7 linked regions of the Oryctolagus cuniculus genome follow. The protein of the gene in region 5 interacts with the protein of the main gene of each other region in a biochemical or structural test. Links are inferred from orthologs where the notes say so. Each region holds a gene or a part of one and is shown on either strand. Other genes may lie near its edges. The genes, in order: UBE2Z, RNF41, PARK7, MTOR, PRKN, SNCAIP and UBE2G1.

Region 1 (3,500 bases), on a different chromosome or scaffold from region 5:
ACCTTTCCCACTATATAGGAAAACCCTGAAGAACAACTATTCACACACACACCCCCCACTGTACACCAATCCCTAGCCTCTGCTACAGGTAGCACAATCTCTACTAAGCAATCTAAGACCCATCAAATATTCCAGAACCTGACGTGAAGGCCTATCAGGTAAGAATTCAGTGGAAAATAACCAATTTAAGAGCAATGGTGGGATCAAAAGCTGTAAACGATGTTAGCAGTCAGTGTGGAAACCTCTGGGCATTCACATGTAAAGGAAGCTTCTTGCTGAACGCCCTCACACATCTGTATGGTTCCACCACCACTGGGTCAACTGTAGAACCAAAACTTTCAAAGGAAACACTCCAACTCTGGTCTAGAAAGCTCATCTGCGCGTGTGCTGTGAACACGGGAGACGGCCTGCTCTCCTGAACGCTGCTCTTGCCTTCTCACGGTTCCTGCTGCCTCCAATTCCAGCAGCTCAGACTGGCTGCCGCTGAGCTCGTCCATTTCCAGCCCAGCACCGTGGTTTCTGAAACCCCGGGGGGCCAAGTAGGGATTTTTAAACTTCTGAGGGGAATCACCACATTCAACATGTCCAGTAACCATGTGAACTACCACTCTGAGATAGGGAGTTTGCAGTTTAAAAACTAAACTGTACCATCTTCCCACGTTATCTTTGTGAAGTCGGATTCCTAGTCACTGCTGTGAGAAAAAACAAACAGCATATGAAAACAGTGGAGAATAGCCGACAGGAGTGGCGAGGTTCAATCTGATTCCAAGATTTTCAAAGTTGTGCATTGTCCAACAGGTACAGACACATCCTTTAAGGAATTATAATTATTTACTAAAGAAGCTGATTAGATCCAGCCACTTCATAAAAGGAACAGTTTGGTATTTTTCACCTGGAGAACTGCAGAAAAATTATAAAACATCATGCATGTGTGAAGCACCAAAACCTGGGAACACTAAGAAGTAAGCACTCCTGAATTTCCAAACAAGGAAAGACCTTAAAATCAGCTCCTCGTTTAGCCAAGTCCATTACCATTACTGCCCACTCCTGAAATCAGGTACATTATTTGTTTGGAAAGGATGGTTTAGAGATTCATTTTTGTTGAAAAGAATATTTATTCAGGTCTATTACAGAAGAATGATAAATTTTAGTGCTACCTTGAGTACTTTAAGAATTATGCTGTTTTAAGCACCAAGATGGAATTTATTTTGAGAATATCACTGCAATTTTTTTCAGTTCTCAAGAACAATTCAGGAAAGCACTTTGGACTAGTGATAGAACTTGGCCTGAGGTACAAATCCAGGGTCCCGCACTGATCAGTGTGTTCTTGTGAAAGTTAATTAACCTGAGTCACTACTGCCTCACTTGAAAATGGGCATGACAACATCTCACAGTAACTTTAGCATGAAAATTAAACAAGAAATTATACATAAAAGGCCGGTGCCGCAGCTCAATAGGCTAATCCTCTATCTTGCAGTGCCGGCACACCGGGTTCTAGACCCAGTCGGGGCGCCGGATTCTTTCCTGGTTGCCCCTCTTCCAGGCCAGCTCTCTGCTGTGGCCTGGGAAGGCAGTGGAGGATGGCCCAAGTGCTTGGGCCCTGCACTCCATGGGAGACCAGGAGAAGCACCTGGCTCCTGCTTTCGGATCAGTGCGGTGCGCCGGCCGCAGCGCGCCAGCCGTGGCGGCCATTGGAGGGTGAACCAACGGCAAAAGGAAGACCTTTCTCTCTGTCTCTCTCTCTCACTATCCACTCTGCCTGTCAAAAAAAAAAAAAACAAAAAAAACAAAAAAAAAAACATAAAAACTTGACAGTGTCCAGCATATCTGCATGACATAAACTTGGAAAATGTGATTTTTTTCCGCCTTCTCTTTGACAGTGTTGACTAAAACATCCCACCCCCAGCTCAGGACTGGCAACTTTGCTCTGCAGGATAATGGCACTTGCCAATTCTGGTAGAGCCGCAGGCTGGGCAGGGTTCTTAAGGGAACACCCCAGACCACAGGTGCTGAAGAACCCACTGGCAGCAACAGCCCCAGAGCAGGCTCAGAATTCATTTCCGAAAGACTCCACTGACTTCCACACTGTAGGTTAATCCAAGCCAATACTTACTAGTGTTACTCTAAACCTTTTAAATTAAACAGGTTATCATCAAGGAGCAGGCATGTCAGCCCTATTTTTCTCCTACAGTGGCAATCAGGATATACAAGAGCTGTACCGGGTCAAAGAAAGATCTCCCAAAACAACTCGCATTCCACACCCGAGAGCTGGGCCCACCCGGCCTTACCTGTTCAAAGCCAGGCTCATTGTGGTAAGGGTTCTCAGTCATCAGGGACTGGATGGAGATGAGCACAGAAGAGATGCTCTGGGCCGGGCTCCAGGCTGGGCCAGTCCACGTACTGCAAACACAGCCGAGGGAAGGGGAAAGGGTCAGGTGGAGAAAGACCAGGGAACATGCCCTGGGCCCGAGCGCAGGCAGGGACTCACCACAAGTGAGTCCTTCCTTCACTAACACCACTCTGGAACTTCCCAGCCTGTCTCATCCTCACTCACCAGCAATCGGTCAGCTGCCTAATCCCGTCACGTGGAAAAGAAAAGGGGCCACGCAAGCAAGAAACTGTGACGGAATTTTCCTTGGGTCCGTAAAGAACAGCCAGGGAAGGTTAGAGATGACACCACCAAGGAATGAGGCAGGCAAACAGCTCCAGGGCTTTAGACGCCAACCTCTGTGGCTCTGAGAGAGCTTACTGGCTACGGGTGGCAATGCAGGTTGTGAGGGGAAAGACAAGCTGAGCACAGAGGCTCAGAGCCATCTGGGGGTGGGGGGGAGCACCCAGTTCTGCATCAAGCATTCTCTGAAGACTACACAAGTCTGCTGGGACAGACAGGCCACAGTGGGTCTGAAAATAATATATGGACAGCATCTTGACTATGAAGAGAAATACCAAAATTGCTCCTCTTTCATAAACCTGAGCCAGCCTTAGGGAGCAGCATCTTGGATAGTAATGGTTATTTTCCTTTAGCTCATGCCTTCCCTAACTGAAGAGATGGCACCAGAGCTGAGCCACGACTGGCTCTGTGTTGACTGGCCCCTGTCCTCTCCCGAGTCAGCAAGCTGTAAGTGGTGACTGCGTCGGAGGTGCATCTGAAGTGCCTCTCAAGCTCCTCTTGCCAGCGTTGCTCTCCCAGGGACCCTACACCTCCTACCCTCTGCATCAAATATTTGGGGGTTCAAGTTAACAGGGTCAATTCTCGTGCAATTTCTTCGGTCAGTCAATCTGCCCAGTACTTTGGCCTGTGTAGGGAGGAAAGGAATGAAGCTGGTACAGCTAACACAATACACTAAGAACATGTGGAAATTCTCTACTCCAAGTCTTCAGGATGCTTCATTTCTACCCAAAACAGTTCTGCCACTTTTACCTGACTACCCGACTCCTCCTGTTCCTACTGTGTGCAGTGTCTGCTTAAGATGGTCTGCACATTGGCCTCATGAGGGAGA
Region 2 (3,155 bases), on a different chromosome or scaffold from region 5:
GAAGCCAGGGAGTCTTCTCACCCAAGGGGCCCATTTCAGAGTTGCTTCTCAGAGAAGTAGGCTTAAAGGTGGTCTTTGTGACACTGAAAGAATGTGATTCCACAAACAACCGAGGCCTGTTACAGTTTCCACTCTGTAAGCATGGCTGCTTGGACTCTGGGCAGCACCTTAGGTCAGCCTTCTCAACAGGGTCCCAGGCTTTTGTAAACTTTTGGTTTCTTATATTGAACTTTTGCCAGTAAATCTCTGTTCCTGTCCTTTCTACATATGTAGTCTGAACCGGCCTTTAAGACCTGTGTCAACTTCTGTCCTTGACAAATAAAAACCTGCTGTGATTGACCTAGCCTGGAAAGATCTTCCCTCCTCTGGACTTGTTGAGCAATTTATTGTGTGTGCAATCCAGGTGATAATTAGTAATCAGTCGCCTTATGTCATCTCTCCTATTGTCCTGGGATGTTATTTCTAGCTGTGATTGTTATATAACTTCTCACTCCTTTGTCTTGTTTTATACAACCTATTTGCAATCTTGAGCACAGGAAACATTTTAAGCCTGTGCCCCACAATGCCTTGGCCACAGTAGACCTCTGTGACCCCCAGGGGGCTGTGACCGCAGTAGCTGTTGAGAGGCCCAGACGGCAGCTCTTAGCCCTGCTGATTCCTGTGCTCCCTTCCAGGCGCCTCATTGCGAACATGCTTTCTGCAACGCCTGCATCACCCAGTGGTTCTCTCAGCAGCAGACGTGTCCGGTGGACCGTAGCGTTGTGACGGTCGCCCACCTGCGCCCAGTACCTCGGATCATGCGGAACATGTTGTCAAAGCTGCAGATTGCCTGTGACAACGCTGTGTTTGGCTGCAGTGCTGTTGTCCGGCTTGACAACCTCATGTCTCACCTCAGCGACTGTGAGCACAACCCGAAGCGGCCTGTGACCTGTGAACAGGGCTGCGGGTGAGATTCCTTCCCCTGTGTCCCAAGCGGATAAGGGCCTTCCTGCCTGCACCTCTGTCTCTGGGTTCCCTGCTTACCAGTGCATGCAAACAGCACTCTTGGCCTCCCTGGCTCCCTGCCCCAGGTCTTACTCTCTCACTGCGCTTCTCAACTATGTTTTTGCTGTTGCTTTAATAAAAGGGGATAGAAATTCAGCAGTCTGTGCGATAGCACTGAAGGTGGATCCACTTTATTCTTTCCTTTTATTCCAGTACTTTCTCTGTGTCAGGTTGGCCTTCTCTTATTTCCTTTTGCCCTATTTTTTCTTTCTGTGGGGTGTGAAATATTTGATAAACTGCTGATAGCTGGGGCTTCTCAGAAGGAATAAGTGGGTAGGCAGAATCTGTAGGGGAAGAAGAGAGCTGGGTGGTAGCTCAAACACCGTGGCCTGCCCTTCTGCTACACATGCTCAGGTCTGGCAGGACACACGGCGCCGTCCCTCTCAGAGTAGGAGGCCGTCTTAAGAAAGGGGCTGGCTCGAATGGGCATGAGAGGACAATTCAAGGGGAATAAAGAAGAAAAGGAGGCCAGCGCCGTGGCTCAATAGGCTAATCCTCCACCTAGCGGCGCCGGCACACCGGGTTCTAGTCCTGGTTGGGGCTCTGGATTCTTTCCCGGTTGCCCCTCTTCCAGGCCAGCTCTCTGCTGTGGCCTGGGAGTGCAGTGGAGGATGGCCCAAGTTCTTGGGCCCTGCACCCCATGGGAGACCAGGAGAAGCACCTGGCTCCTGCCTTCGGATCGGCGCGGTGCGCCAGCCGTGGCGGCCATTAGAGGGTGAACCAACGGCTAAAGGAAGACCTTTCTTTCTGTCTCTCTCACTATCCACTCTGCCTGTAAAAAAAAAAAAAAAAAAAAAAAAAAAAAGAAGAAGAAGAAAAGGAAAAGAAAAACATGTAAGAAAATAAAACCCACCAGGTCCTGGAGGAGGAAAGTTCACAGAAAGTAGACAGCAAACGAGCCAGGAGACAGGAAGCACTGGGAGAAGCATGTGAAGGCAGCCTGACAGAAATGCTAGACCCCTGCGGTAGGCAAGGGCCACTCAGCAATCCTGGGCTGCAGGATAGACCATTTGGCCACACAGCCCACTGACTGCACCTGTTATGCTCTTTCCCCACCTGGGCCGCAGCTTGGAGATGCCCAAAGATGAGCTGCCAAACCACAATTGCATTAAGCACCTGCGCACCGTGGTCCAGCAGCAACAGACACGCATCGCCGAGCTGGAGAAGACTTCAGCTGAACACAAACACCAGCTGGCAGAGCAGGTAGGGTTCTGAGAAGGGGGGGGCAACATGTCCTTCACGTGCACGTGACTACCTGCCTGGGAGCAGCAAGCCCCATTCACGAACACAAGGGCCTGTGCTGTGAGCTGGGTGAGCGGACAGACACTGCAGCTCAGCAGGGAATCCGAATGGAGCTCCCCTTGCCTCCCTTCCTCCAATCGTGCATTCGTTCTTAGGTTCATTGAGTGCCGTCTCCGTGAAGGCACCTTGCCAGGTGTTGAGACTGCTGTGAGTCCTGTCCTCATCTTGCTGAAGCTTCTCGTTTGGTTGTTCTCATATCTCTGAATTGCTCTCATAACTCAGAGAAACTTTTCTCTTTTACCTGTTGTCTGCCGTAACGATCATCCTTGGTTCTTCTTGCCTCCAACAGAAGCGAGACATCCAGCTGCTAAAGGCATACATGCGTGCCATCCGCAGTGTCAACCCCAACCTTCAGAACCTGGAGGAGACAATTGAATACAATGAGATCCTAGAGTGAGTGTCACACCCCAGCCAGGAAATGGCAGTAAGGGAGCCGGGCTGGGGCCACCACTGATCGGGTGTTGGGATGAAGGACAGGGACAGAGGAGAGGACGATAGCCCTGAGCTCCAGTGCAGGATTCTGATTCATTTGGGTGGATGGAAGGGGGTCTGCCCAAGGATGGAGTTTATCTGGAAGTAGCTGAGTACCCACCCTCACGAAGCCCCGTATGAAAGGCTATCGAGGGCTAGGAGGGCCAAGCAGAAATAGTAGACACTGTCCTTATCTTCAGGTAGCTTGTGACCCAGAGCTGAGAAGGCAGAGTGGCAGTCCAGGAAAGGGATCTAAAATCAGCGTAAACAAGCAAAGCAAACAGTAAAGTCCAAGGTCCCTGTCAGTTCTGGAGTCCTGTACACACAGAGACTGACCT
Region 3 (3,500 bases), on a different chromosome or scaffold from region 5:
AGGGCCTCATAGCGGCCATCTGCGCAGGTACCGTGCCTGGGGGCTGCCCTTCCTGCCCTTCCTTGTGGGGTCTGCTGAGCTGGGGGCACGGAGGTGCTGTCCCCTCAGAAGGGGGCAGCTGTGCGCCACCTCTCTGCCCCGGCGTCCGTTCTGCAGCTCTGCATTTTCCGTGTTTGGTTGACCTCGGAGGAGAGGAAGGCCCTCTGGAATTCAGTAAACAGCTTGTCTTGGCAGGTCTGGCGCCAGGAAGAGTGTGTGCCAGCAGCGTCAGCAGAATCGTCGGCAGAAACAGCAGCTTTGCCCTGTGCTGCCCTGCAGAGGGGAGGCCCGTGCCGCCTCCCGCCACCTCCCTGGCGGTCTCCGACTCTCAGTGGGCTCTGATCTCGGGCACTGTATCGTCGGCCACGTGACTTAGAATAGGCTCGCTCACGCTCCTCTGAGGTCCCCACATCTTTGAAACGTGATGTCTTGCCCTCTGGTGCTGTTTTCAAGCCGGTCTTGCTCCGGTATCGGATAATGTTCCGCCAGCCTGCGTTTTTCCGTAGTGTGACCTCCCCAGGGCCTGCCTTGCTGCAGGTCTCTGAGATGTTTGCCCACATGGCTGGCTGGCTGGAATCGTACGCTGACGTCTTACTTCAGTGCGTAGGCTCTTTAGAAGTCACAGGCGAGGATCCCCGTGACCTTACTGGTCACTGTAGCATTCCCTCTGGGGAGTCAGGTCAGAACAGATGCTTCGAAGATGTTATTGGCCTTTTTCCTTCTCAGAAGTGACAGCAGGGTGTGACAGTGCCGTCCTGTGGGCGTGGCATGCGTGCTAGAGATGTCCCAGGTCTACTGGGTCACGTGACAGGTGGTGATGTCACGTAGCCCAAATGAAGCCAAAGGGCCCCCAGGAGCTGGGGAAGAGGAAGGGAGGATGGGTTTGGCCGGCTTTGTGGCCCGAGGCCGTGGTGCAGGCGCGCGCTGCGTGTCAGCGAGCTGGCCTGGCATCGGCCTCGTCTGGTACTCGTGCTCTCACGGTGTGTTCGTCCTGTTGCACACCCTGACTCTGCGGCAGTGAGGTGAGGGCCGTGGAGGGGAGCAGAGCAGGTGCAACAAGTGCAGGTTTTGGATGAAAAGATGCAAGTTAGGCGCTGATACTGCGTGAGAAAGGTGGACACAGAAGAGAGGCTGTCTTGAAAAGAAGACAGAGGTTTGCTCTGAGTAGGGGCCGGGCGGAGGAGTTGACTGGCTTCAGGTGGGAGCAGGGCCTCAGACACCGGCAGTGGCCAGGTGTCCTTTTCTAAGTCACCACCAGGTGGCGCTGGTGGCTTTCCCCTTGGCTGCCGCGGGGCCTCCTGCTAGTCCTCCCCTCCCCCAGGGCCGCGGTGCTGACTCGGCAGCTTTCTCACCCCGCAGAATTTCTAGTAGTCGGGCTGCTTAGTGTCCCTGAGAGAGAGAGACAGAGAGAAAGGTCTTCCTTCCGTTGGTTCACCCCCCAAATGGCACTGCGCCAATCCGAAGGCAGGAGCCAGGTGCTTCTCCTGGTCTCCCATGGGGTGCAGGGCCCAAGCACTTGGGCCATCCTCCACTGCACTCCCTGGCCACAGCAGAGAGCTGGCCTGGAAGAGGGGCAACCAGGATAGAATCTGGCGCCCCGACCGGGACTAGAACCCGGGGTGCTGACGCCGCAGGCGAAGGATTAGCCTAGTGAGCCGTGGCACCAGCCCTTGCCTCTTTTTCAAAATAGACAGAAGCCCCAGAAGACAGTAATCACGGACTTACACGGCGGGCCAGCCAGCGGGAAGTGCCGGCGTCCGGGAGTGAGGGAGGGTGTGGGGGAGTTCCCCAGCTTCCTCACCCGGAGGGGAGGGAGGGGAGCAGGCCGCTGGAGCCCCGCCCGCTGCCCGCTCTGCTTGCGCTCCCTTTACAGAGGAGACGGGGGCTCTCTTATCCCTCGGCTCTGCCGTGTAAGAATTAGAGGTGCCTCGGGAGTCCGCTCAGGTAGACTGGACAGCGCAGATTTGGTACAATGCAAGTAAGGCCAAAGCATGCCCGGGGCTTTGCAGAAGGTTCCTGGGAGATGTGTGTGATAGAAACACTGCACAGATTTCCAAAACATTTTTGTACCAAAATTATCTTTTAATTCCATTTTTTTTTCATAACCTTTCTGAAGTACCCGCGTGTGTTTGAGGCTTTTGACCTAAGAAGTAAAAATCAGAACTTGGAGTGACACCAGCACCTCGCGTTTGGAGTGACACCAGCACCTCGCGTTAGGTAGAGCGCTTATGTAATCAGGTGCAGTTTGTTTGGTCCGTGTTTACAGCAGCTCTGGCTTGAGCAGCCCGCAGGTGTGTTACATAACCGTTTCCTGGGAATCATGTTGGAAAATGAAAGGTCAGGAGGACCAAGGCGTCAGGTTTGTGGAAGCAAACACAGGCTGTGCGAGGGGACGTCGGCCAGCCCCCTGCCCTCGGCTGTCACAGCAGGCTGCCCTGGAGTCTGCTCCTCTAGGTATGGCTTCGAGAAGAAAGGTGAACGTTTTTTCAAACCTTTAAAGTAAGGGAACAATTAAAAGTAAAAAGCCTTTTTGGTTTTAGTCCTTGTTTGAGCCCATTGAGTATAAATATGCTTGTGATCCTGAGTTGACCGCTTTCGGTGAATAAATGTGGATAAAAATCTCAAGTTGGTGCCTGCATCGTTCAGAGACTTCACTGCAGAGGCGCAGGCTGCCCTCCGCGTGGCTGCTCGCCTGGGTCCCGTGACCTCTCGGACACCGCCAGGCCGTCTCCCCCGGGCGGGGCAGCCTGCTGTCCCTGTAGGAAGCCTGCCGCCGGTGAATTTGGACGGGAGGGTTGGTGGATGTTCATCTGCTACTCCATTTTCTGGTAGAAAAATAGAATTGCAGCCGTGCAGTCTAGAGGTGCGATGGTGTTAGTGTGTCCCTCCTGCTGGGAGCGGTGAGAGGGGAGCGCAGCCGTCCCGGTACTCGCGGTGCGTCGGTGTCCTGCGGTGCGCTCCCGTGGCATCGGGGGGCATTCTCCTGGCTCCGTGGTTGTGGAGGGAGTTGAAGTCTCGCCGGATGTGCCCGGCAGATGGTTTCTTACAAACATACTCTTCAGCTCTCCCGTGGTTCAGAAGCCGCTCTTCTGGGCAGAGCCGCTTGACTCTGAAGATGCTGTGGCTGCTGCAGTTTCTAACGCACGCGTTTTCTGTACCTGCACTTACATCTTGTGTTAATCTTGTATCTCCAGGTCCCACGGCTCTGCTGGCTCATGAGATAGGTTTTGGAAGCAAAGTCACCACACACCCACTTGCTAAAGACAAAATGATGAATGGGAGTAAGTATCTGCTTATAAGTTGATGCACAAAAAGGCTTCTCCTGCGGACTGGGCATTTCCCAGCCATGTCAGCCGTTGGGCAGGGACGGTCCGCGCAGCTGGGGGAGTCTCAGCTCCTCTGCACGCGTGGCCACCAGGGGCTGCGGGGTGGTGTGTTCTGTGCTGGGGGCTGGGGTCGTA
Region 4 (4,227 bases), on a different chromosome or scaffold from region 5:
GGGATACCCAGAAACTAAGGAAATAAGTAGTGAACGGGCAGAGGTGGGGCAGGATTTTCATGATTGACATAATTCACTTGCAACTTGAGCTGAATATATTGCTAGGAGAAAAATGCAATGGTTGACAATATAGACGCTGAACACCAATGACAAACGTGAAATTTAGAGGAACAATGATTTCACAAAAGCCAACAACCTAAAGTTGTAATCATAATTTAAAAAAAGCTTCTTAGGGCCCATGCTGTGGCTCAGAGGGTTAAAGCCCCGGGCTGCAGTGCTGGCATTCCATAGGGGTGCTGAAATCCCGGCTGCTCCACTTCCGATCCAGCTCCCTGCTAATGACCTGGGAAAGCAGCAGAGAACGCCCCAAGTCTATGGGCCCCTGCACCCACATTGGAGACACGGAAGAAACTCCTGGCTCCTGGCTTCAGCTCAGTTCAGCTCTGCCCATTACAGCTATCTGGGGAGTGAATCAACGGATAGAAGACCTCTCTCTCTGTCTCTACCTCTCTCTCTCTTTCAAAAAAAAAAAAAACTGCCTAAGCATTTTGTTAGCCACAGAATATTATACATCCCTTTATTATGGCAGTTTAATCTTATGGAAACTTTCATTCCTTCAATAAATAAATATTTTATTACACACATAATTGTTGGTAATGTATATAGGAAAAAGGCGTCGCCCCAAACCCATCGCATTTCCCCCACAGAAACACACATATATAATATGAAAAATTTTAAAGGGTTATATTGCAACTATATTGTATCATTTGTAATTTTGTAACAGACTGCAAACCTTTTTCTTCTTAGCAAATATTCATTTACCCTATCATCACTAACGACTGCGTAACACATATGCCTGTTTATTAATCAGATACCTATTGCGGGAGATCTAGGAATTTTCAGTGTGTACTAAAATAAACAGAATTGTGAGACAAATTCCATTTTTTTCGATATTTTTGAAAGTTTTTTTTTTTTTCATGATGATGTTACTTTTTCAGTCAAAACCTAGCTACGGTTTCTCGGGAGTGGTCTTGCGAGCCAGACAATTCTGGGAGAGTGAGAAAACTCAGAACAGTCTCACGTGCCTGTCAAATTTATCAGGAGAGCGAGAAGCCCGCCTTGGGCTGCGGTGACCCGCCCGCACCGCGCACACGCGCGGGGTCACGAACCACCGCCCCCGGCCGCGATGCGCGGGGGACTCATAGTAATGATGCACCGGATGTGTGCGTGGAAGTGACTGAGGGCAACTCGCGCGCGATTGGTTCTCCCGAGCGAACCTAATGCTGTTTTCGCCTGGCACTGGCCGCCTGGTTTGTCTATTTGAACAGTCCCCGCCCTCTTGAGAAGCCGGTCCCGAAGCTTCACTTCTCCTTCATTACTATTGGCCTGTATTCCAGTCCATCTTTTTCTTCTGCCTGCCGATTGGTCTTCAGGGCTGTGAGCCCGCCCACTCTCCCGCCCGGCGTAGAGGACAGCGGGGAAGGCGGGTGGTGGGACTGGGGGCCTGAAGCGGCGGTACCGGTGCTGGCGGCGACTGCTGAGGCCTTGGCCGAAGCCGCGCGGTGAGTCTGTGGCCTGGCACCGACCTCTGTAAGGCGGCAGAATATCCAGACCTACGGCCAGCCTGGTCCGAGGGAGGTGCCCGGGAAAGCCGCCTGGCCGGGACGTGGGATCCACTCAGTACCGGCCCACGACCTGGACGCCGCCCTAGCCTTGACCCCACTCCACGCCACGAGGCAACGCCCAGCTCCCGAGGACACCCAGGAGACCCTCCGGTCTTTGGGCCCGCCGGGGTCCCAGCTCCTTGCCGGCCGGCCCGTCAGCTCCGGCACCGGCGTGGCGCCGTAGGGTCTCCTTTGCCCGTCCCAGTCCCCCTTCGTAGCCACCTGGGAATTGGGGAGCCCTGCTCCGGGGCGCCCCGACCTCAGTGTCAGCCGTGCGCTCCACCCTAGAGGCCCATGAGAGACTCGCTCCCGGCAGCCGAGTCCCCTGCCTGGGATGCATCCCCTCTGCCTCTCCCCCGCCTCCGTCCCGGGGTGCAGCCGTCCTGGTTGCAACCTTGACTTCCTTAAGCCTCCCCAAGACCCTGGGGACGTCCGGCCTCCAGGAGTGAGGCCGAGGTCAGCCTGGAGCAGGTGGCGCGGGGTCTCGCTTTTCCAGCGCTTGGCAGTGCCTGGGCCCCGTCTTCTCCCTGCCCCCAACACCAAGTGCGGTAGCTTTCTTAGGGATCCTTGGCTTCCCCGGCCCCTAAGGAACGACCCTAACTTTTGCGGCCCTCTGGCACTGGAGTGTCTGAAGACTTTCCAAAGCCAATTATTGCCATGTTTCTTCCTCCGCGTGTCACAAATTGGTTCCAAAAATGAGAATTTTGGCAAGTTTTTCTAGAGTGATCTGGACACACTTAGGGGTATGTTACTTCCATCACAGCTGTGGGGGCTCAGCCCTGTCCTGGCCACTTTACTGCCTGGTGTAGCCTCCTCCCTGCCCCCCGGTTGTCAGAGAGAAGGAGTCGTGCAGTTGAGGAGTGAGTGATCGGTGGTCGGGACTAACTGTCTCTTACACAGTCGCCCCTTGGTGTTCCCCGGGGATCGGTCTAGGACACGCCCCGTGTGCGAGGATACACCAGCTGCTCCTGTAAAAGGATGTGGTCTTGCGTGTGTCTGTGTCCGTGTGCGTTAAGTCATGCCCGGAACGTGTCTCGTCACAAGGTGAAGGTTTGTATGTGTTCAGTACAGGCTCAACTTGTGTGGGAGGTTTTCAGTCCACAGTTGGTTGAACCCGCAAGTGTGGCTGTCCACGGTAGTGTCCTGTAGCGCACTGTCCACTGCAGTGAGCAGCCGCTTGTGCCTGTGACCCGTGCACACCGAGACTGCCTGGGCGTGAATGTTCACTGGAGTTTGGAGACTTAACAAAAAAAAGAATGGAAAATGTATCAATAATTCTTCACATTGATGACATTTTAAACTAATATTGGGGGATATTGGATGAAGGAACATATTTTGATTTCACCTTTTTTTTAAGTAAACTTATCTTTTAATTCCAGTTTTCTCTTTTTAGAAAAAAGACTTTATTTATTTGAAAGGCAGAGTTAGAGAGAGAGAGAGGTCTTCCATCCCCTGGTTCACTCCCAAAATGGCCACAGCAGCATGGGCTGGGCCAAGCTGAGGCCAGGAGCGGGGACTTCTCTGGGTCTCCTGCGTGGGGGGCCATCTGCTGCTGCTTTCCCTGGCGCATTGCGGGGAGCTGAATGGGAAGCGGAGCAGCGGTGACTCGAACTGGTGCTCCCATATGTGACGCGGGCTTCGCGGGCAGTGGCTTAACCCAGTGTCACAGTGTGGCCCTTACTTGTTGTTTGTGTGTATTTTAGATTTATTTATTCATTTGAAAGCAGCCACAGAGAGACAGAAAGGTCCTCCATCCGCCGGTTCCCTCCCCAGATGGCTGCAATGGCCAGAGCTGAGCTGATCCAAAGCCAGGAGCCAGGAGCTTTCTTCTGGGTCCCCCATGCAGGTGCAGCGGCCCAAGCACTTGGGCCATCTGCCGCAGCTTTTCCCAGGCCACTGGCAGGGAGCTGGATAGGGAGTGGAGCAGCCGGGACACCAACCGGCGCACATACGGGCTGTGGGAGTTGCATGCAGCTTTACCCACGACGCCACAGCGGTGGCCCCGAATCAAGGCTTTGCGAATGTTCCTCAGTGTGGTCTCCCCACCTTTTTAGGGTCCACTAGCTGATAGGGGCTGGGTGGAGATCCCCGTTGAATAACTGGGGCCCTAAATTACTGCCATGGTTTGCTCTCTGGAACATAAAAGGAGCTCTTCTCCAAAGAACCTCAGGGCAAGATGCTGGGGACCGGGCCCGCCGCTGCCGCCGCCGCCGCCGCCACCTCAAGCAACGTGAGCGTCCTGCAGCAGTTTGCCAGTGGCCTGAAGAGCCGGAATGAGGAGACCAGGGCCAAGGCTGCCAAGGAGCTCCAGCACTACGTCACCATGGAGCTCCGCGAGGTCAGCCTTCAGGGATCTGGCACCCGTCATCGTGGGGTGTTTGGGCCGGACGTGCCATCACTGGTGTATTTCACCTTTTACTTAGCCGGTTTTCATTTGATGTTGAAAGGTGAAGAGATAAATCTGTCCTCTGACTTGCTCCCCATAAGCCTGCGACAGCCAGGGCTGGGCCAGCCCAAAGCCAGGAGCCCAGAACTCTGTCCAGGTCTCCCACGTGGGTGGCAG
Region 5 (3,500 bases):
CATTAGAGTTAGATTGAACTGAATGTGAATTCTGATTAAAAAAAGTTGTTGATGTCCTTAGGAAGGTGATTATAATTCTCTGGGCCCTCATTTACTATTCTATTAAATCAGGATAATAATGGTGACCTGACCAGATCTAAGGTATAACACCGGGCACATTGTAAGTACCTGATGATTATTGGCATTGTAATTATTATTTTATTATAATCATTATTAAGTGGGTCATCTCATTTTAATTGAGAGCAAGTTGGCAATTATGCCATATTTAAAAGAGAAATAATAGTAAAATTACCTGGCATTGAGTTTATCATCTTTTAAAGAAGATGAAATGTACACCCAAAATAACTGAGACACATGCAAATATTTACTATTTGGAAAGTTACCAGAAGTTACTAGGGAAATACTGCAAAATTTTATTTAATGTGTCACATAACATTCCCCATGGTTTGTTCATATGTTCAAGATTAGAGTTGGGGCCCCATGTTGTGGTGCAGCAGGTTAAGCCATTGCCTACAACACCAGCATCCTATATGAGTGCTGGTTCAAGTGCCAGCTGCTCCACTTCATATGCAGCTTCCTGCTAATGCTCCTGTGAAATCAGTGGAAGGTAGCCCCAGTGCTTAATCCTGAAAGCTCTGGTCTGGCCCAACACCTGTCATTGCAGCCATATGTGGAGTAAACCAGTAGATAGAAGATCTGTTTCTCTCTCTGTCTTTCCTTTTCTCTCTGTCACTCTGCCTTTCAAATAAAATAAATTTTAAAGAAAATAAAAGAATATTAGAGAGCTGAGATTCAAAGAGTGAGGGTTAGTATGTTTATATTCAGGCTACAAAACCTACAAAATCCACAAAGGAGCATATAGATGGATTTGAACCTCTGTGCTATGTTGCTTCTACCTGGAACCTGTCAAGTGTTGTAAGACTCACATAATAAATGTCACTGGAGACCTGCTCTGGCTGAATGTGTCCCCAAGGCTCTGGTCTGTGTGTGGGAGGCTTGGTTCCCAGTTAGGAGGCAATTAGGCCATTGGAGGCATCACACTCGGAAGGGATTCATGTAGTTCTTAGTTCTTGTGGAACCTCAGTTCTCACAAGAGTGGGTTGCCATAAAATGAGGTCTCTTTTTGGGCTTGGCCTCTTTTGTGTGCAGCCATTTCCTTCCTACTTGTCCACAATGTTGTGAGACAGCCAACGGGGACCTCGGAGAGGCCAAACCGATGTAGCTGCCTAATTTTGAACATGCAGCCTCCCAAACTGTGGAGCTGAATAAACCTCTTTTCTTGAGAAGAAAAACTTCAAGTGTCTTTTTTTATATCAACAAAAAATGGATTAATATCTGCAAAATCAATTTTTTGCTGGATCTGATAGCAGAAGGTGACATGGTCAGAACTCTGGATTGATAAGTCTTCTTGTAGCATGGTGCGGGGGCTTTCAGAAGTGAAGAAGAATGGATCAAGACTCCCGTTTGGGGGCCGGGGCTGTGGCACAGTAGGTTAATCCTCCGCTGTGGCGCCGGCATCCCATATGGGCACTGGTTCTAGTCTCGGCTGCCCCTCTTCCAGTCCAGCTCTCTGCTGTGGCCTGGGAAAGCAGTAGAAGATGGCCCAAGTGCTTGGGTCCCTACACGCACATGGGAGACCAGGAAGAAGCACCTGGCTCCAGGCTTCAGATCGGTGTAGCGCCGGCCGTAGCGGCCATTTGGGGGGTGAACCAACGGAAGGAAGACCTTTCTCTCTGTCTCTCCATCTGTCTGCAACTCTAACTCTCAAATAAAATAAATAAAATCTTTTTAAAAAAAAAAGACTCCAGTTTGGATGCTACTGCAAGAATCTAGCAAAGATTTGATGAGAGGCTGACTTAGAGCGGTGCACGAAGTTGTGGAAAGGAGAGTTCTGGCTTGAGAGGCATTGAAAGGGGGTGGCCACTGAAGTGAGAAGACAGCAGGCAAAAGACTGTGTGGTCCCGGTGGGGAAGAGTGGCTGCAGAAAGAGCAGTGCTGTCAGACGCTTCAAAAGAAAAGGAGAATGATTGTGTCCATAGCCCCAGTGGAGCGTTTTGTGCAGCAGCTGCGGCACCGAGAGGGTCTTCACTGTGGTCTGTGAAGTGGCCTGGACCTTTTCCATTTCTCCTTGAGTGCTGCTGGCATACTGCCTTTTCTTTTTGTTAGGAGGGGCCCTATGGATGGCGGGCGAGTTTGTACAGGCTGTCAGAGCTGAATCTCCTATACGAACTCCTGGGAATCTTACAATTCCAATCAAGCAAGGGTTCTGCTTGACTCCCTCTCTTTCCCAGAATAGATGTCAAAGGGAGTGTGCAATTTTGGTTTGCGGGTCACTGACTAATATATGAAAGGGAAATCCTACTGGGAAACTCCATTTTTCCTCAAACTATTGCTCCAGATAGCATTAGTAGCATTATTATTTTTTTGTTTTAAGTGAAAGAAAATGTGTGCCATTCGTTGAAGGGCAGGTGAGGGTAAGTCAGTTCAGAAATGCTGTCACTGCGATTTGAGGGCTTCAAGTCAGGCTCACTGCCTTTCTTTTCTCTTCCCATTTCTGTGGTTCAGTGTTCGTCAGGTTCAACTCCAGCCACGGTTTCCCAGTGGAGGTCGATTCTGACACCAGCATCTCCCAGCTCAAGGAGGCGGTTGCTAAGCGACAGGGGGTTCCAGCTGACCAGTTGCGTGTGATCTTCGCAGGGAAGGAGCTTGGGGATGAGTCAACAGTGCAGGTGAGTCTCCCCGGGCGGATTGCTCCCAGGACACCACTAGCCCGATTGCCAATGCCGCTTCTGCTGCCAATCTGACATTCATGCCCGAGATCTAATAGAATAAATAGTGCCTGGGGATTCCTTGAACTTTACTCCACAATGCTTCATTAATTCTGACCTTCTTAATTATGCATTAAAACGGCAAGCAGTAAGGATTGGAAGCACCGCTGTAAGTGAGGGGGAGAGAGCGCACGGCCCGCGAGCTGGGCACCGTGAATAAATGTTTACTGACTACAGGAGCAGCAAGGCACAATTTCTGTGTCTGTTCAATTTCTACCTTACTTATTCCGTTTGAATCTTAATGAAGAAGGAATCGAATAAATTGTGCCCAATCAGGCTGCTCAGTCACTGCGCTGTGTGGATTCGTAACCCGAGTGTGACCCCTGGAGGACGCTTGGGGTTGCCGCCGCGTGTACTGGAGCAGGTGCCTCTCAGACCCATAGTCAGCTCCTGAGAATCGCTTGACCAGTTCCAGAGTCTGGTGGGGAAAGGAGAAGGCCTGGGCACAGCAGAAGGCTGCTTTGCATGCAGTTTTCCTAAAGTTCTGTCAAATTTTCTCTCAAACAGACCTCTGGCGACTGCAGAGTGAGCCTTGCGTGTCCTCTGCTCCCAGGGCATCCCAGCTCAGTGGTGATTTTTGAGGGAATTGGGGGTTTATGACAGTGCCGTCACCTAGTAGGACAGCCAGTAGCTTGCTGGGGAAGCAGGCCAGTAAAATCTGCATGCTAAAGG
Region 6 (3,500 bases), on a different chromosome or scaffold from region 5:
GAGGAGCAGGTCAACAGCGTGAGCTGGCCCACCTGCCAGGGCCCCGAGGAGAAGACTGAGCACCAGAAGAAAGTCAAGAGCATCCTGAACATTGTCAGAGAAGGGCAGATCTCGCTCCTGGTGAGTAGCCGCTTGCGTGGCAAGCGCCTTCCTGATCTCAAGACTGTCTTTATCAGCTCCGCTTGTTAGGAACGGACTGATGATGCAGCTGTTTGGCTTCTTGCTTAATCTTGTGGCTTGCTTTGGGTGAGAGATGTGTCCCATTGCATTTTTAAATAAGAAGTCTGGAGGTTAATAGGGGAAAGCAATTAGTTACAGAGGAGTGTTGTTTCATCTCAACTTTGCATGAATTCTGCCGGAGTAAAGGCTCTTAATCTAAGACAAAAACAACCCAGAGCCAGCACGATCTTGTTTCTCAGGTGGTCCTGAATGCTCTCACTGTTTGGGGGATGTCAGTTCCTCGCTGGTGGTGGACCTGCCAGATACGTGAACAGAGCCTCTTCTGTTTGATCCTGGCCACTGTGCAGAAGAGGTGGACCGGGGTGTTTGAGGAGTGTCTGGAGATAGAGGCTCACCCCACAGCTGGCATGCCTGCTGACCCCCGGGGATTTGTCACTCAGTTCCAGGTCTCCTCTTCTAGAGAGGCTCCCCCAAGGATTCTAGACGTTGGTGTCCAAAAAAATCTTTTCTGCTTAGGCTCCCAGACTGAGACAGCATTGATGTACCTACATTGTCCCTTAGCTGCTTCCAGACTTGGATCAAACAGCAGCGAGCCTGGGCACACACTGGGATGCTAATCAGAGTCTCATTCAGGAGAATCATGGCACCTTGGCAGTGGGATTCTGCTGAGTGTAAGCCGTACAGAGATTAAGTACAGCGTGCTTGGTCTATAAAAACAAGTGGTCTTGTAATAGGGCAATATGACTGAACAACTTTACCAAATCATTTTTCTTTCTCCTGAAAAAGTCTTTTTCCATTGTCCCCTCTCACTCTCTTTGGTCCTTGCCCTGTTTCCCTGTTTCCTGAGTGTTAACCCCTCCATTCACACCCCATTGCTGTCCACCCATCACACCCATGGGACCTGACTTCACTAGAGGTGAGAAAACCAAAGGCCAGGGAGCCTCCAGTTGCCTCAGAGTTGCGGGGAGGGGCTGTGTCCCAGGTGCCCACCACAGCGCAAGTAGAAGCAGGCGTTTTGTAGTCTGCAGTCCAGCCAGCTCTGCAGTTCCTGGCCAGCTTAACACCTGCAGTGGGGAATGAAACCCAGCCCCTAGGCCAGCGCCGCGGCTCAATAGGCTAATCCTCCACCTTGCGGCGCCGGCACACCGGGTTCTAGTCCCGGTCGGGGCGCTGGATTCTGTCCCGGTTGCCCCTCTTCCAGGCCAGCTCTCTGCTGTGGCCCGGGAAGGCAGTGGAGGATGGCCCAAGTACTTGGTCCCTGCACCCCATGGGAGACCAGGAGAAGCACCTGGCTCCTGCCATCGGATCAGCGCAATGCGCTGGCCACAGTGCGCCAGCCGTGGCGGCCATTGGAGGGTGAACCAACGGCAAAGGAAGACCTTTCTCTCTGTCTCTCTCTCTCTCTCTCACTGTCCACTCTGCCTGTTAAAAAAAAAAAAAAAAAAAAGAAAGAAAGAAACCCAGCCCTGTCGCTCCCCCTCTTCATGGAGGAACGACACAGGACCCTGCGCTGTTCTTTCGTCTGCTCGGCCCTCCCCGGGTTTGCTGCTGGTTCTTCCCGGGTTGGCTACTATCCCTTCCACCTCCGTGGAAGGGCAGTTCCCCCTGGCCACATTCCCCACTTCCGCAGGGGAGCGGCACACCGCCGGCCGGCTTTCTCGGGGGCTGCTCAGGTGTTCCTTCAGATGTTCCCCCTAGATGTTCCTGGTGCATGCCGTCTCTCTCCTCCTTTATAGTCCTCCTCCGCCAATCCCAACTCGGCTGCCCACACGCCGAGTACGCTGCTCTCCTCCAATCAGGAGCAAGTCCTACAGTTTATTGGTTGAACTGGAGGCAGCTGTGCGGAAGCTGTTTACTTCTCTCCCAGCGCCATATTGTGGGAGAGCAGATGCATAGAATAAGTCTTAATTCCAGTAACTCAGTCTAGTCCGGTTTGCTCCCCACAGATCCCCCTTTCTTTTTATTTTTTGGCGTTGATACGCGCCTGTCTTCGGTGTCCCATGGCACACACTCTGCTCTGCTTGCTAGAGTTGCCACAGGTTCTTACAAGTCCTATCAATCAGGCAAACCGAATCCGGGTCCTCTCTTCGCCATGTTGTGAGGAGGTTTTTAGGCGCTGATGCGTGCCTGTGTTCGGTGACCTGCGGCTCATACTCTGATCGAGCCGCCTGCTGGCGCTTACCGCCTTAATCAGGCAGACCGAATCCAAGCTTTCTCATTGCCGTATTGTGGGGGAGACTTATTAGTGTTGGTTCGTGCCTATCTTCGGTGACCTGCAGCTCATACTCTGGTCGAGCTGCTTGCTGGTGCTTACCGCCTTAATCAGGCAGACCGAATCCAAGCCTTCTAATTGTTGTATTGTGGGGAGGCCTTACTGATGTTAATTCGTGCCTGTCTTCGGTGGCCTGCGGCGCATAAGCTGCTAGCCGCCGCAGGTGCTCATCGCCTCACTTAATCAGGCAGACCGAATCCAAGCTCTCTCATTGCCATGCTGTGGGGAGGCCTTACTTCTCTATTTCTCTATCTCCGGGCATTCCTATTTCTCCCATTCCACTTCTATCTTCCAGCATTCCTGTTTCTCTCCTTTTACTTCTAAACTTCTGTTTCTCTTATCCCTGCAGCTTCCCGGCGCCTCGCCCTGCCGGCAGCTTCACGGCTCCGCGCGGCTTCCCGGGCGCCTCGCCCCGCCAGCGGGCTCCGCCCCGAGGCTGCTTCTCGGCGCCTCGCCGGCTCTGAGCCGCTTCAGCCCGCGCCTCTCTCATCTGCGCGGCTCGGCTTCGCGCGCACACTCCGCGGTCTCTACGCCCTTCGCGTCTGCACCACGGCCTCGCGCCAGCCCCGTTCCCTATCTATTCACGCCCCGTGCTCTCTCTGCACGCGGCGGCTTCCGCGAGTCACACAGCGTAGCTTGCGTCTCCACCACTAGCATTCAATCCAAGTTCCCCGGGCTAGCCTGGCGAATTCAACCCAGCTTACGTCTCCGCCCCACGGTTTGGCTTCCCATCCTTTGCTCCCCGGGCTAATCAGACGGATCCCAATCTGGCTTACGTTTCAGCTTCTGGTTTCAACTTTTCGCCCCCCATTCCCGGGCTAACTTGAGAACCCCAAAGTGGCTTTCGTTTCCGCCTCGGCCTGCCCCCCGCGGCTTCAATTTCCCTAACATTTTTCTCTACCCGGTATGTTTCCCCAAGCTTTCCTCCAACAATACTCCTCCCTCATTTCTCCTGGCCTCTCCCCACAGTCCGCATCTGAATCTGTTTGTTCTAGCTTTCACTTTCGCTTTCGACCTTAGAGATTTCTCCCAACTTCCCCCCGTAGTC
Region 7 (3,979 bases), on a different chromosome or scaffold from region 5:
GGGCTTAGCGGGGAGAGGGGAAGGATAGTGAAGAGGATAGCTTTTTACAATAATTTTAATAGTTACAAAGATGTGTTAAAGGGGCCAATGTTGTGGTGTAGCGGGTAAAGCTGCTGCCTGCAATGCCCACATCCCATATGGGTACTGGTTCGAGTTCAGGCTCCACTTCCAATTCTGTTCCCTGCTAATGGTGTGGGGAGAGCAACGGAGGATGGCCCAAGTGCCTGGGCCCCTGCACCCATGTGGGAGACCTGGAAGAAGCTCCTGGCTCCTGGCTTTGATCTGGCCCAGCCCTGGCTGTTGTGACCATCTTGGGGAATGAACCAGCAGATGGGAGACCTTTCTCTCTCTCTGTCTCTCCCGCTCAACTCTTTCAAATAAATAAATAAATCTTTTTAAAAAAGAAGTGTTAGAATCTGCTTCTCCTGTTGACCTTGGCTGGAGCTCAGAGACTGTGAGCCCTTTAGAGCAGAGGATCAGACCGCATTCCCACACACAGCTTCTCCGTGTCTCCCGTAGTTAAAGTACATGGTTACTACGAATTTAATAAACATTTGCAGAAGGAACAGATAAATCCGAGTGTCATAAGGTATTACTCTTCCTTCTCCATGTCTTTATATAGACTGCGAGAACTGGGAAGAGAACAGACTGCAGGGTGAGGTTGGTTTTCCCAAGCCTTGCATCTCAAACTTTGACAGATGCTTTTTTGGATGTCAGTTTGAATTTTATCTATCAGATTCTGCTATTGTCAACTCATTTTACTCGCGGAGAGCATTCACTACGAGATACAGAACACTTTATTCCAAGGGTGTTTCTGTGCATCCTTTACTTGAATCAGGAACCTATATTAAGTCTATGGCTTAACATGGGGCACACCAGCACCAAGTTCGGCTTTCTAACAATGAGTAATTCGCGGACCATGTATGCAATGCTAGATAGCCTTTGGGTGCTCGCCAACAACTAGACACTAGCCACTTTTCTCGGGGCCCTTCATTCCCACACCACCTGCTTCACCCCCGAGGCGGCGTCCTGACCCTTGGCGACCTCTTCGTCATGGCGTCCGCGGGGCGTCCACCAGCTGAGACTTCAGCTGTCAGCGGGCGTGGACCTTCCCAAGATGGCGGCTGCCAGGGCCCCGGCGCGCAGTGGGCGGGGCCCCGCCGCCGGGGGCGGAGCGGAGAGGCAGAGGGGTCGGGCCAGCGGGCGGGCCGCTTCCGAAGTAGGCAGGCCCAGCGCGCTTGCGCGGAGCGGCCCTGCGCGCCGTGAGGCAGTGGCCGGGGAAGGCACCGGTGGGGCCCGACGGGCGGGTTGAAGGAGGGAAGCGGGCGAGTGAAGTCCCAGTGCGCGCCGCGGCGGCCCGGGTATCCTCCCCTTCCGGGCGTGAGGCGCTGTGAGAAGAGCCGAGCCCAGCGGACTAGCATCGGCAACGAGGCGCCACCACTGCCGCCCCAGCCCGGCCTCCCTCTGCTTCGGCGCTCCGTCCGCGGGGCCCGGGTTCCTCAGCACACCCAGCTCCAGCCGCCCCCAGAGCCTGTCCCCAGCTCTCCGAACGCCCCGGCGGCAGCCTGGGCCCTTGGCGGGGAGGATGACGGAGCTGCAGTCGGCGCTGCTACTGCGAAGACAGCTGGCAGGTGAGCGGGAGGGCGGCGGGCGGCGGGCCTGGCCGCGATCGCGGACAGCCGCTGACGGCACGTCGGCCGCTCCGGCCGGCGGGGACCAGGCCTGAGAGGGGTGGGGAGTCCGCGGCACGGGTCCCAGACGGGCCCGGCACTTCTAGCCCGGGTCTCGGAGGGCATTGGGGGCGGGGACGCGTCCCAGCCCCGGCCCTCGGGCGCCCCGGGGGTCGGAGGGGAGGCTGCCCCCTCCCCCACGGTTCGGTGGGACGTTGCGGGGGAGGGGCTGCGGGCCCCCGGCCGGGCCGAGCCCCCTCGGAGGGGCGGGTCCCGGGCTCAGGTGCGGTCGAGGCCTCCGGACCCTCTCGGGGGGTGGCGGGGGTGGGATGGGGGGAGGCTGGAGCCGCTGGGCCCCGCGCGGTCGCCGTCGCTGGCTCGGGTGTCGGAGCCGGCGGCGGGAGTGGGCGAGCGGAACTGGCCCCCGGCCGGATAGGTGAGGCGCGCAAAACTTCTCCCGTGGCAGCGCCGGGTCGGCGGAGTTGTGGCCGACAACAAAAGCGCCGGCCTCCGCGGCCTGGGCGCTGGCGCGCGGGCGCCCGGGACGCTGGCGGGGTGCGGGACGCCGCCTTGCCTGCCTCCGCCTGGCACGGGCTCGGGCTGCGCCGCCGGGCTGGGGGAGGGTAGGAGCGGGCAGAGGGAAGAGCCGCCCGCTGGCCGGCTCGGGGCTTTGTGCTCGCCGCCACCGCGGCCCTGCGCGGGCCTGCAGACCCCCGGGGCTGCGCCCGCGCGCTCTGGCCCGGGGCGGCGGCCGGCCCTGCTGGCCCGCGGGAGCCTGCGTCCCCCTCCCCCATTGTCCCGGCCTCCGGCCGTTTGCGGCTTCCAGGTTGACTTTTTCGGGGGTTGGCTCCTGCTCTGCTAGGACGGTGTGAGCGGAGCATGCGCGCTGGGGACGGACGTGTGCGGAGTGCGAGGGGGGAGGCGGGTTGGTGGCTTCACAATGCCGCCCCACGTGCTGCCAGATTTAAAGAGAAATGAGCCAGCAGTTAGCCCTGCCGTCGGCCGCGCTGAGTATGTCCTTCTGCGAGCAGGCCATCTTCCCCTCCCCGCCCCGCGGCCGGCAGCCCCCAGCTCCCGCAGAAGCTGACGGCTGGAGGGAAGAAACTTCGCCATAGATTTACTAAGAGTTGGAGGCAGTGGTTAAATTACCTTTGCGGCTTCTTAAGGAAAAGGTTGTCAGGGGCTGTTAGAGATTGTATAATTGGGTTTATTATTAGACCATGAGCAAGCAGGTTTGGACAAGTATTAAAGTTCTAGATGTTCAGGGGGAGTGACTTGGAGGTTCTACTGGCACTGCCCACCAAGAAGAATATGTTAGAATAGCAGTGGAAGAATAACAGCTTGATGTGTTTTATATTTGCAAGCACAGCTTCTGTGTCCTTTCGTTTGTTTTGGAGGAAGGAATTTTTTTTCTGGCCTTCGTAAGAACTCTTTAATCAGACTAAGTTTTATTAATGTGGTGAGCTAGTAAATAGTATTAAAGTACTAAGTTGGTTTTAAAATAGCACTCAACTCTTACATAATGGAAAAGATACACATTTTAAGTGATATAAAAGGAGTTACGCAGTTACTGAGAAAGTAAATTAAGACAAATACGGTGTGAACAGCAGCAATATGTCAAAACTATTTCCAGCCATTTGTGAGCCAACAATAGATTTTGATGTTACTCTATTCCATTTTGCATTCTTCTTAAAACAATAATAATCTCAAATATCGGGAAAACTTCTGAGCGCTCTTTATTGGTGGTTGATTTTCTGTGAGGGCACACTAAAATGTTTTAATGTAGAGGGGAGGGTGGTTTTGTTTATAATTTGTCAAGTTGCTTAGCTTCTGATTAACTTTTGTTAACCTTTTTGATTATAAATAATGAAACTGCTCTTAATTCTTAAGTTTTTGAAGGATTTTAATGAACATGTTCAAAAAGTAATCAAGAGTAGGCCAAGGCACTTTGTTAACTAAATGTAGTTCAAGCTTATTTGGAAAGACCTGATAATTGTTTACTTAAATAAAGGCCTTGTTTCGTTTTAGTAGTGTATTATGGGAGCTTCATGTGGAAACAGGGAAGAATGGTAAAATGTAATCTCTTGAAATCAGAGTGAACTTTTGTAAGATATACTAAATGGTTTAAGAATCTTGAGATGTATTGAACCGAGTAGATAGCAAACCTGTAAGCCATCTTGTCTGCTAGAATTCCAGAACCTACAGTAGTTTTATTTATTGAGCTCTTAGCCTGCCAGTCCGTAAAGATCTTAATCCATTACTTGGAGAATTTTACCCAGTGTATTTTGACTGTAATGAAGAACCTGATT

Evidence for each region.
Region 1: the proteins of PRKN (region 5) and UBE2Z form a complex in vitro, tested with the Homo sapiens proteins (2 studies listed by BioGRID). The link is inferred for Oryctolagus cuniculus from reciprocal best matches to the Homo sapiens genes PRKN and UBE2Z.
Region 2: the proteins of PRKN (region 5) and RNF41 form a complex in vitro, tested with the Homo sapiens proteins (2 studies listed by BioGRID, with this or other methods). The link is inferred for Oryctolagus cuniculus from reciprocal best matches to the Homo sapiens genes PRKN and RNF41.
Region 3: the proteins of PRKN (region 5) and PARK7 form a complex in vitro, tested with the Homo sapiens proteins (2 studies listed by BioGRID, with this or other methods). The link is inferred for Oryctolagus cuniculus from reciprocal best matches to the Homo sapiens genes PRKN and PARK7.
Region 4: of the proteins of PRKN (region 5) and MTOR, one has a biochemical effect on the other in vitro, tested with the Homo sapiens proteins (2 studies listed by BioGRID). The link is inferred for Oryctolagus cuniculus from reciprocal best matches to the Homo sapiens genes PRKN and MTOR.
Region 6: of the proteins of PRKN (region 5) and SNCAIP, one has a biochemical effect on the other in vitro, tested with the Homo sapiens proteins (3 studies listed by BioGRID). The link is inferred for Oryctolagus cuniculus from reciprocal best matches to the Homo sapiens genes PRKN and SNCAIP.
Region 7: the proteins of PRKN (region 5) and UBE2G1 form a complex in vitro, tested with the Homo sapiens proteins (5 studies listed by BioGRID). The link is inferred for Oryctolagus cuniculus from reciprocal best matches to the Homo sapiens genes PRKN and UBE2G1.

Annotation. Positions count from the first base shown.
Region 1 is NC_091448.1:25,128,948-25,132,447, reverse strand, and holds part of UBE2Z (ubiquitin-conjugating enzyme E2 Z), read right to left. Parts: intron 2,401-3,500; coding exon 2,289-2,400; intron 1-2,288. UniProt on the Homo sapiens protein: Catalyzes the covalent attachment of ubiquitin to other proteins. Specific substrate for UBA6, not charged with ubiquitin by UBE1. May be involved in apoptosis regulation.
Region 2 is NC_091442.1:59,005,958-59,009,112, reverse strand, and holds part of RNF41 (E3 ubiquitin-protein ligase NRDP1), read left to right. Parts: intron 1-674; coding exon 675-946; intron 947-1,281; exon of another isoform or gene 1,282-1,328; intron 1,329-1,368; exon of another isoform or gene 1,369-1,485; intron 1,486-2,111; coding exon 2,112-2,247; intron 2,248-2,587; exon of another isoform or gene 2,588-2,635; coding exon 2,636-2,739; intron 2,740-3,155. UniProt on the Homo sapiens protein: Acts as E3 ubiquitin-protein ligase and regulates the degradation of target proteins. Polyubiquitinates MYD88. Negatively regulates MYD88-dependent production of pro-inflammatory cytokines.
Region 3 is NC_091438.1:159,764,181-159,767,680, reverse strand, and holds part of PARK7 (Parkinson disease protein 7), read left to right. Parts: coding exon 1-27; intron 28-3,233; coding exon 3,234-3,320; intron 3,321-3,500. UniProt on the Homo sapiens protein: Multifunctional protein with controversial molecular function which plays an important role in cell protection against oxidative stress and cell death acting as oxidative stress sensor and redox-sensitive chaperone and protease.
Region 4 is NC_091438.1:157,064,153-157,068,379, forward strand, and holds the start of MTOR (serine/threonine-protein kinase mTOR), read left to right. Parts: upstream 1-1,427; 5' UTR 1,428-1,562; intron 1,563-3,810; 5' UTR 3,811-3,840; coding exon 3,841-4,002; intron 4,003-4,227. UniProt on the Homo sapiens protein: Serine/threonine protein kinase which is a central regulator of cellular metabolism, growth and survival in response to hormones, growth factors, nutrients, energy and stress signals.
Region 5 is NC_091436.1:6,277,527-6,281,026, forward strand, and holds part of PRKN (E3 ubiquitin-protein ligase parkin), read left to right. Parts: intron 1-2,565; coding exon 2,566-2,729; intron 2,730-3,500. UniProt on the Homo sapiens protein: Functions within a multiprotein E3 ubiquitin ligase complex, catalyzing the covalent attachment of ubiquitin moieties onto substrate proteins. Substrates include SYT11 and VDAC1.
Region 6 is NC_091437.1:12,134,091-12,137,590, forward strand, and holds part of SNCAIP (synphilin-1), read left to right. Parts: coding exon 1-120; intron 121-3,500. UniProt on the Homo sapiens protein: Isoform 2 inhibits the ubiquitin ligase activity of SIAH1 and inhibits proteasomal degradation of target proteins. Isoform 2 inhibits autoubiquitination and proteasomal degradation of SIAH1, and thereby increases cellular levels of SIAH.
Region 7 is NC_091448.1:49,558,710-49,562,688, reverse strand, and holds the start of UBE2G1 (ubiquitin-conjugating enzyme E2 G1), read left to right. Parts: upstream 1-1,179; 5' UTR 1,180-1,585; coding exon 1,586-1,631; intron 1,632-2,021; exon of another isoform or gene 2,022-2,106; intron 2,107-2,659; exon of another isoform or gene 2,660-2,842; intron 2,843-3,979. UniProt on the Homo sapiens protein: Accepts ubiquitin from the E1 complex and catalyzes its covalent attachment to other proteins. In vitro catalyzes 'Lys-48'-, as well as 'Lys-63'-linked polyubiquitination. May be involved in degradation of muscle-specific proteins.